2 linked regions of the Caenorhabditis elegans genome follow. The protein of the gene in region 2 interacts with the protein of the main gene of each other region in a pairwise test. Each region holds a gene or a part of one and is shown on either strand. Other genes may lie near its edges.

What was found. The genes of interacting proteins can lie anywhere in the genome.
Region 1: the proteins of pat-10 (region 2) and ZK632.12 interact in a two-hybrid assay, tested with the Caenorhabditis elegans proteins (one large-scale study listed by BioGRID).

What each region holds. Positions count from the first base shown.
Region 1 is NC_003281.10:9,828,572-9,833,570, reverse strand, and holds ZK632.12 (uncharacterized protein), read right to left. Parts: upstream 2,770-4,999; 5' UTR 2,734-2,769; coding exon 2,718-2,733; intron 2,671-2,717; coding exon 2,278-2,670; intron 1,799-2,277; coding exon 1,590-1,798; intron 1,542-1,589; coding exon 1,401-1,541; intron 1,355-1,400; coding exon 1,313-1,354; 3' UTR 1,148-1,312; downstream 1-1,147. Other genes in the region: ZK632.11 (uncharacterized protein), read right to left, coding at 3,959-4,354, 4,400-4,609, 4,654-4,798, 4,847-4,999.
Region 2 is NC_003279.8:5,018,001-5,022,582, reverse strand, and holds pat-10 (EF-hand domain-containing protein), read left to right. Parts: upstream 1-2,496; 5' UTR 2,497-2,519; coding exon 2,520-2,522; intron 2,523-2,590; coding exon 2,591-2,642; intron 2,643-2,692; coding exon 2,693-2,799; intron 2,800-3,206; coding exon 3,207-3,362; intron 3,363-3,412; coding exon 3,413-3,580; 3' UTR 3,581-3,601; intron 3,602-3,656; 3' UTR 3,657-3,800; downstream 3,801-4,582. Other genes in the region: C46H11.6 (PDZ domain-containing protein), read right to left, coding at 168-503, 808-1,001, 1,493-1,706.

The DNA of each region.
Region 1 (4,999 bases), on a different chromosome or scaffold from region 2:
TCCGCACAGTTGGCAGCAAACTGTTTCTGATGTGTACGGAGGAAATTTCTTCAACGAGTCCGGAACGGTAATAATCAGCTGATAGAGAACGAATAGTTTTCCTTGAGCTTTCTCTGTAATTCACAATATCTTTTAAGTAAACGTGTTTTTCTACAAACCAGGATTAATGATTGGAAAACGGAAATCGGGTTTACGCATGAGAGGTGGTGAAGAGTAATGTTCAGGGTGGTAATTACTGAAATGATGTTTTTAAAATAAGTAACAAAAAAAGCTTCTAACTTCACACTCCGAGACAGCAATTCTCCCAAACTGGGGGCGTTCTGACCGGAATCTTCGTTTTCTTGTTCGAGAATTGCAGCGGCCACTTCAAATTCATTAGACATAGTTTCAGTACTTGACTGATCCTCTTCTACACTCGGAGACTCCTTCTTGACCTCATTACTATCGCCGCATACAATTTCTGGATCATTTTGAGCATCTTCTGAAAACTTTTGAACAAGGTTATTTCGAATGGTAACATTATTACGAACTCGGCTGGTCCGTTTCCTTCGCCGAAGTGTTTTCATCCAGCTCCTGGCTCGTATCCACTTCCATCAATTCTCCTGGTTCCATGGAATCACTGCAAAAATAGGACATGATGAAATATATATATATATATATATATGAATAAAAGCTTAGGAATTTATGAAATTTACACTTCGTTTGCAGCCATTTTCAGCTTTTAAGAAGACAGTAATGCAAAAATAAAACGAATTTTCAGAAAGTAAACGTGCCGCGCGTTTTGTCCACGTGGAGAACAACGTGGATACGCAAACACTCGAAGAACTCTGCGTACAATACACCATGTGCCCGCTTACAGTACTCCAGAAAATAAAATTTATTTTTCATTGCACACTTTTGTGCTCTGATTTCACTAATCATATGTAAATAAAACATTTATTTTACTTTTAATAATTTAAGAACATTTATATGATTCCAAGCCGAATGGACCATACGTTTCTCTGAACACTTCAGTTAATTGCGCTGTTTCTTGTAAGGACAAGAAATTTGATCATTTCTGTAATTCATGATTATTAAAATGATTCCTTCTGTCATGTGGTCGTTTTAATTTTGTGCAGTTCTGAATAATCTTGAATTGAAGAAAAAGGAAATAACTTTTTTTCAGGAATTGTAAAAGTCGTTGGAAGCAACAAAAAAAAATACGTACAATTGCTGTATATCACAGGAACGTTTAAGAAAATATAATATTAATTTAGTAGTAGGAATGAGGACGTGGATTTTAGAATTTTCATCGTAGTTTATATGCGTTGAACTATGTTGCCGGCTGCTGAACGTCCTCACGGTAGAATGTTGGCTGAAATTTGTATGTTTATTGAAAGATTAGGCAATATTCAGTATACCCGGCTCTCATTACTCGATCGTCCACTACCATTGACCTCGTCTTCACTATCCGAGGAGGAATCCTCATGGTGCAAGCGATTTCCCGTTTTTGGTTCACTTTCTTCTTGTCCTGGTGTGGCACTACTCAGACTGTCAAAGCACTGAAAAATCATGATATTTAGACGATAAAGTGTCAAACTTCACCGTACATGATCACAAACTCGGACAGGCTTCTTATGTACATTGTCAATACGGAATGTTCTCGATGAGCAGGCGCCACACACGACACGTCCACAATTTCTGCAGTGATGTCTTCTTTGAACCAGATTGAATTGAGTTTTCCCGCAGACCATACACTTCACTGCTTCACCATCGGGAACCCATACAGCTGCGTGAGCAGTCGCGGCTTGCTTATTTCCTGAAAGTAGAAAATTTTGATTGTATTTTTAATAGAAAAAAATAATTTATCTAAAAAACCGTTTTAATTTAGAGATATGGTGATTCCCAATTTTTTTGTAGAACGTATATTATTGGTCATTTAAATATGAGAATTTTTCACCTATCTTAGGCGCATGGGTCTCGCCAGGCGGACAACAAATTACTGTAACTTGTCGATCTATGGACCAATTTTGCATCACAATTTATAAATTAAATTGAACATTGCTGCCAACATTTTTTTAAATAAAAAGACCACAATGCGCCTAAGACTTATTTAAGCTTAATATTAATTAGACGAAAAATGTTGCGATTGTTGCATTAAAAATACGGTTTTCGGTCTCGAAACGACAAGATTTTTTGAAACGGAAAATGGTAAGCGCCTTTAAAGATTACGGTGGTTTCAAACTTTCTCTGCAATTTTTTGGTGGAAATTTTTTGAAAATAATTTTCGTGTATTACCTCTTTCAAGGAGATCTGTAACGCATCTCTCAATATGCAACATCCATTCTCGTTTTTCAGTTTCAGTTGCTGCATAAACTGCAAACGATTTTGCAGGTGTCTTAATAATCCATCCATGTTTCTCAATTCCATCGTCTTCCAGATCTTCTACTTGTACACCTTCCAATCTTAGAATTCTTTGCTTATTATATCGCTTTTTCGAAATCACAATGTTTCCATATACAAGAATATCATTGAACAAGAAGAATTGCCGTTGCTTCGGTTTCTTTCGGCACATTTTCACAAGAACACCTTCTCCGACAAGAACTCGTCCGAATACCGACAATTGTTCTCCCATTTTTCCAAAGCATTGTTCTACGTTAGCCATTCGACGGGAATTCACTTCACTATTCACTAAAATTTAATAAATTATTTTATAAAAGAAAATAAATAAAACTTACCAAGTCGATCAACCATTGTGTTTTGTGATTTAGAAACGATGGAAAGAATCCGCTGAAAACTTTGAATATTTCAAAAAATTCATAAATTTAGTTCGAGACGAAGAAGGTTGAAAATCATAACAAAAAATTATTTTGAGTGAGAACAGAATAAGAAGAGAGGGAAAAGGAATGTGATGAGTCATCATACACTTTATGTGCAAACAATCGGATGGACAAGCCAGTGGACCGCTGCCTGAACGAAAGAAAAAGAATGCAATGAATAAATTGTCACGAATGAATGATAAGAACAACTGGTGGCCTGGAAAAAAGGTTTCAATTAATTTTATTACTTTTTTGAATAAGATTTCGGATCTTAAATATAGTTATGCATGGTATGGGAGCAGATTTTGTAGGTTTTCCTTCTAATTAACAATAACAATCTCAATATATTTACCGAAAATAACTGTAACAAAATTACAAAATTTGAACATTGTTTTAAATGATTTTTTTCAATTTTGGAAAAAAAATGATTAAAAAGGCTAAACTTTTTCTGAATTCCCGCGCAAGTGATCTACACAATTTCGATATTTTTTGCTTTTTCCGGCTATATTAATTGGGGTTTCTTTTTATTTTATTTTGTTAATCTAAAGAACTTCTCTGAAACTCTAAATCTGGCCTCAAATCAATAATGTAAACTTGTTTTGCGGGAAAAAATGTATGAAAGTTTTACAAAATTATGTTTCGAATCAATAATTTAATAAAAACCTTAATAATATAACCTGAAAACGTCGAAACTTTAGGAATTCGTTTGCGCGGGAATTCAAAAAATAATTCAGCTCGTTTTTAAATAATTTTTAAAAAAATTTGCAATCATAAAAAATTCCATCACTTTCTAAAAAATAAATTCGGCAAAAAATCCCTCAAAACCTATACCATCTTTTTAATATTCACAGGTTTCTCGAAATAATCTGATTAAACATAAGCCAATTAGACCAATTTAGTTTAAATTGAGAAAACCGATATTTGCTGTGTGTCACCAATCCATCGGAAAGCGGCAAGAGTGAAAGAAACGCAGAGATAAAGATATAATTGATGACCAAAATAGAAGATTGTGGACATTCGGAACCATTTACAACAAGAGAGAGGTTGGAAAATCAAGAAAAAAGGTTTTATCATGGTAGTTTTGCGTAAAAATATGGAACAACAACAACAATTTTAAGCAACAACAATAATTCAACAAAAGGATTTTTCAAAAAGCCAATTCATTTAGCATGTCTTCTATTTCTTTTCCTGTTCTGATTATTTTTGTTCTTAGCAGTTCCAGAGTTATTCGACGACGAAATTTCATTCGTTGAAACCAAAATAACTTCTTCTTCAGGCTCCGGAACGAAGTTATTTTCGCGGATTTCTTTCAATTTGTCCATGAGATTTCTGAAGTTTCCCTTGCATCCAGTAAGTTCTTCTCTTGCTTCAAATGGTTGAATTCCGACGGCAAACGCTTCAAGTGGAGCAACAGGAGTAAGAAGAGAGCTACCAAACACTGGAGTTCCGATTAATTCAAACATCGATTCTCCTAGTTTTACATCTTTTCGAATCGGAGTCAAAAGGTGTTTTTCTTCTGTTGAAGCAGAGCCGTCGAGTATTATAATGGAATCTTCCTGGAAAAGTAACTGATATTGAATTTTTATTTTAATTTAATTTACTTCTCCCGGAGTATTGAACTTGTCAATTTTGATTTCATCACTTGTGATTACTATAACATCATCATCATCTTCATTAGCGAACTTTTTATGTTTCGGAGTTGATTTGGCTCTTCGTTTCTCCGCTTTTTCACTTTTCTTGAATATTTTCAGCAATTCATCTTGATAAACTGAGCAAAATACATCTCTTGGTGGAATCTTGAAGTCTTCACGCTATAAAAATGTAATTTCTAAAGTGACAACATATTTGTTCTTACATCATTTAGAGAAGATTGTTCTCCATTGAATCCTGGATACCATACAATTTTCGATGTATCTAATTCAGGAGGCTTCACTGACATTTCATCATCTTCTTTGGATGTCGAGTCGAAGAATTTCAATTGATCGGTGGATTTGATTGATCTGAAATTAATAACAATATTAAATTGCATAAATTTACCATTTTCATACTTTCTCAACCAGCCTGGCGGATATCCATCGATTAACCCAAGTCTTCTCATTCGATAAATGTGCTCCGGAATATCATTCCCACGCAATCCAAGAGCGGCTCTTAATCTATCGCTGATCACACCAGGTTTGAAATGTTTCTCTCTTTGTTTTGAT
Region 2 (4,582 bases):
CAGGCTTACTGTATACTTCTGATTTTAAGAAACCCAGTGTTTAGTTATTTTAATAATAATATTTTTGTTGAAGCTCCAGCATACGGATCGTCCTAAATCTTGCAAAACCGGACGCCGGTTTTCCAAGCAAACGTTCAGCCGGTACAATTTGAAGAAAAAGTCCTCACCCGACCAATACATATCGCGTCGTTTGCCATCTTAACATCTGGATCTGGAGCAACTGACTCAATCAAATGACGAAGAGTGTTTGCAGATTCCACAGAAACCGGTCTTTCAACCAAAAATGTGACTTTTTCTCCTTTCAAAATTCCCGACAGTTTCTCACGAATGAAGTCGTCATTTTTCTCTGCGTTCAGAATGGATTCTTCATTTATATCCATTATCAGATCCCCACGACCAAAGAATATCGAAGCGAGTGAGCTGGGCTCGATTCGAGTTACTATGCCACGTTTTTGAATATATGTCACTGTAACTCCAACCGTTGCACTTTTCATTGCGGAAGTCTGGAGTAAATGGTATTTATTAAGGGGTGGACATAAGTTCTAGGTATAATCCAAAGTTATTTTAAACAATTATTTTATGAGAATTTTTGTTGTCAAGCAACAAGCAGTTCGTCACATTTCGTCAAAAAAACTTTCATAATTTCGTCTTTAATTTTTTAAATTAAAAACAATTCATACTCAAAAAACATGCAAAATTCTAGAATTTAATTGGTCATTCTGTAACTCCGTTCAAAACCTCATTGCAAAGTTCAGATTTCGTATATTTTCGAATAAGATAATCATGTCGATTTTTCTTCAATTATACCTTTTCAACTTCAATAACAAAGCACGTATTGTCCCGTCTCAAAACACATCCCGATTTCTTCAACCGTTCTCTGGTCGCTGGGATAATATTTTTCCGTCTTGTAACCTCAACACTACATGTTTCACCTTTCATGAGCTCTGTCTGATACTTGGATATATTTCCACTGGCACCGTTCACCTTGACTATTTTGTCGCCTGAAAGAAAAGTATTTTTAATCTAGTTTTTTAAACTGGTTTAATACATTAATTGGAAAAGTGTAAAGTGGAAAAGAAACTAGGGAGTCTTCCGAGGAAAATTGACTTTTCCTGGCTCAAAATGTATAATTGTGGACAGAAGAGTTTTGAAACCCTTGTACCAGTCAAACCAATTTTTGCCTATTATTTTATCGGGGATAAATATACATTTGTTCGGCAAAACATCACAACTTCATAGCAAACTCTTGCAACTTGAAACAAACATTTATAAACAATTGCCAAGAGATGTTACAAAGTTGCAAAAACCGGAGCAGTTCTAAGCGAAATGTTTCATAAAGTTTGCCAAAAGAAATTGCAAGAGTCATCTGAAAAGCTGCAGAAATTTGTTAGAAAACTAAAGTAAATAATGGTTTGTAAGAAGTTGCAAGATTCTGTTATGAAGTTGGCCCGCTTCAAAATAGTTTCGGGTTATCCGGCCGTTGGAAACTTACTCAATATCAATCCATTGTAAAACGAGTTTGTTGATAGGAAAGAAACCATCGAATTCTCATTAATTCTAATAACTTCATTCGCAGGCTTTCCGACATCTTTTTCATCAATCTTGAATGAAACTGTCATATTTACAGTTTCCACATTCTGTGGGATCGGTGTCAGCCAACATTCTTTCATCTTTTTGTTCGTATTCTGCACTTTTTTCTTCGACATTCTTCTTCAAAAGAAATAACGTTTTCCGAAGTTACTTGTTAGCTCCAAACTCACGATTATGGTTTCCTTTTGAAATCCGGAAATTTAGTGTCAAATGATAAATAAGAATGATTAGAAATCTACCTCCTCCCCCTCGACTAAACTGAATTGGAAAAACATAAAGTTTAAATTCAAAATGGTGTGTCACGCGATAAAAAGTTACTGGAGAAACTTGAGAATTATAAAATAGTATTCAAATTAAACGTTTGATATAAAACTGTAAAGATATACATACTCAGTGCACATTTAAAAAAACTGAAAAAAAAACGTTGTTGTGTTCTGAAGCCCAAAAAGGCTAGATGTTCTGGTCACCATGTACAGCTAAGAATCCAAGTATTCTGGGAAAGTTCAATTACATATATTGCCTGTCAACTCCATTTCTGTACTTAATTCTACTCCAATTATATTATTTTTTTTCTATTTCCTGGACTTTTATTGATCCTTGGTTGCCTGTCCCCCCAATCTTTCTTCGTACTCTCCTCCCGTTTCCCCTTCCTTCTCGGAGAGCCTTGTCTCTCGAATCCTGTGTTTCGCAAAAATCATCGTCAACTTCCACACAGATATCATTCTGCGTCTCTTCGCCCTCTATGATCTCTCATGCCCGTTGATCAGGAGCATCTGTCACCCAGTGTAACACCAAGAATGTGTTTTGTGGAGGAGACGATGATGCCGTTGTGAGAAAGAAAAGCCCGCCCTCGGGTTCCTCCGCCTACTCGCTCCCGCCGTTGCTTCTGCCCGACGAAGCTTATCCAGAGCACAACAAACTCCGACAACATGGTGAGTCCCGCTTTCTCATGTCTTCAATAAATTTCTTTTTGAATTTTTATATGTTTATACTTTTATAGGCTGAGGATATCGAAGAGATTCTTGCTGAAATCGACGGATCCCAAATTGAGGGTAAGATATTTTATATTTATGATTGAAAAATCATCATTAAAACTTTCTAGAATACCAAAAGTTCTTCGATGCCTTCGACAGAGGAAAGCAAGGATACATCATGGCCACTCAGATCGGTCAAATCATGCATGGAATGGAACAGGATTTCGATGAGAAGGTAAATCATTTTGGAACTTTTGGTTTATGTAGAGTTAGGGGATCTTCAGAAGAGTGATAATTCAAATTAGGAAGTTTTCAACTCTTTTAAATTTAGGTTTCACGGTAATGATTAGGTAGGCCAACTGAGTAAGATAACCGAAAATATAAATGGGTTACTCTTGCCTAAAATTTTGTTTTTATCCGACCTATCTTCTGCGGCTTGTTTCTCAACTGAATTCAATTAATTTTCGCCACTAAAACATGTTACTAATGTTTGTGAAATAATTAATTTTGATATTCCATCTGAACAAAAGCATTTATTATGTCGACTAAAGTAAGATATAACTATATGTTATGAAATTTAGTTATAGAATTGATGATTTTGATTTTTCTAAATCTATGTGGCATCTAACTTCATTCTTTTAGACCCTTCGTAAACTGATCCGCAAGTTCGACGCTGACGGTTCCGGAAAGCTCGAGTTTGACGAGTTCTGCGCTCTCGTGTACACCGTTGCAAACACTGTCGACAAGGAAACATTGGAGAAAGAACTTCGTGAAGCTTTCCGTCTTTTCGACAAGGAGGTTTGTACTTTTAGATTTTGCTTTTTATTCTTTAATTATTAATTTTTCAGGGTAACGGATATATTTCTCGACCAACTCTGAAGGCTCTTCTCAAAGAAATCGCCGATGACCTCACCGATCAACAACTCGAGGAGGCTGTCGACGAGATTGACGAGGACGGTTCCGGAAAGATTGAGTTCGAGGAGTTCTGGGAGTTGATGGCTGGAGAGTCTGATTAAATTTTCTAATTCCTTTAAAATGTAAGTGTTCGAGCTTTTTTTGATTTTATTCAAAAACTAACTTTTTATTTTTCAGCGCTGATCTACAATCTTCAACTGTGGGGACCAGTCACCAACTTTTCATAATTTCCTTTTTCTTGAAATGTTAAATTCATTTCACTTTTTATTAATTTTCTTGTCATTCTTTTGAATGAATAAAAATGAATAAAAGTCTTTGTACATCCACAGGCTTATTGGAAGAGTGTGACCAATTTGAAACGGCCAAAATCAGGAAATAATCAGAAGAACTAGACTTCTCAAATCCTTTAACACAACATCAAATCCGCAGTATAGTGCTCCGTTTTCTCTTGACCTAAAAAAACGGGAAAAGTCCATCTACGGGGAATGGAATGACAAATCTCTATAAATATAGAGATTCACCGTTGCAACCTTGTTGTTTGAAAGTGAAGTGTCTCTAAATAGAATGAAAATTATGAAAAATGGAAAATGTATTAAATCACTGCAAATGAGACCTCTACTCTGCGGCATTACAGTTTTTACCGTTTTAGCGCAACAGGACAGTTTTTGTAAATTTGCAAAAGTAAAGTGACAATTCTCTATGTAGATTTTCTACGAATGAATTTCAGGATACTTGTGAACTTGCAAAACAGTTTTTCACTATTTCAATTGTTCCAAATCTAAATTCAACAAATCCCTCTCTTTTTCTCTATCTGTGCTCAACTCTTTTCTATATAAACTTAGTGTAACATAGGCTTTATCTTTTTCTATCCACTTTCCCACCAATATCCCTCCAGGAATAGAAAAGGGATTAACGGTGGAGACTCCAAATAGTGTCCATCACATGCAGCTACTATTGCTCCAGAAGCCCTTCACGAGTCTCTCTGCCGTCTCTTTGCTTATCAGAGCCCAGATACTTACTATGGAAACCATCAGATGGGAAAACGAGAAGAAGAAAGCAGATGTAAATATAAATTAGAAAATAAGAAGAAGAAGAGACAGACA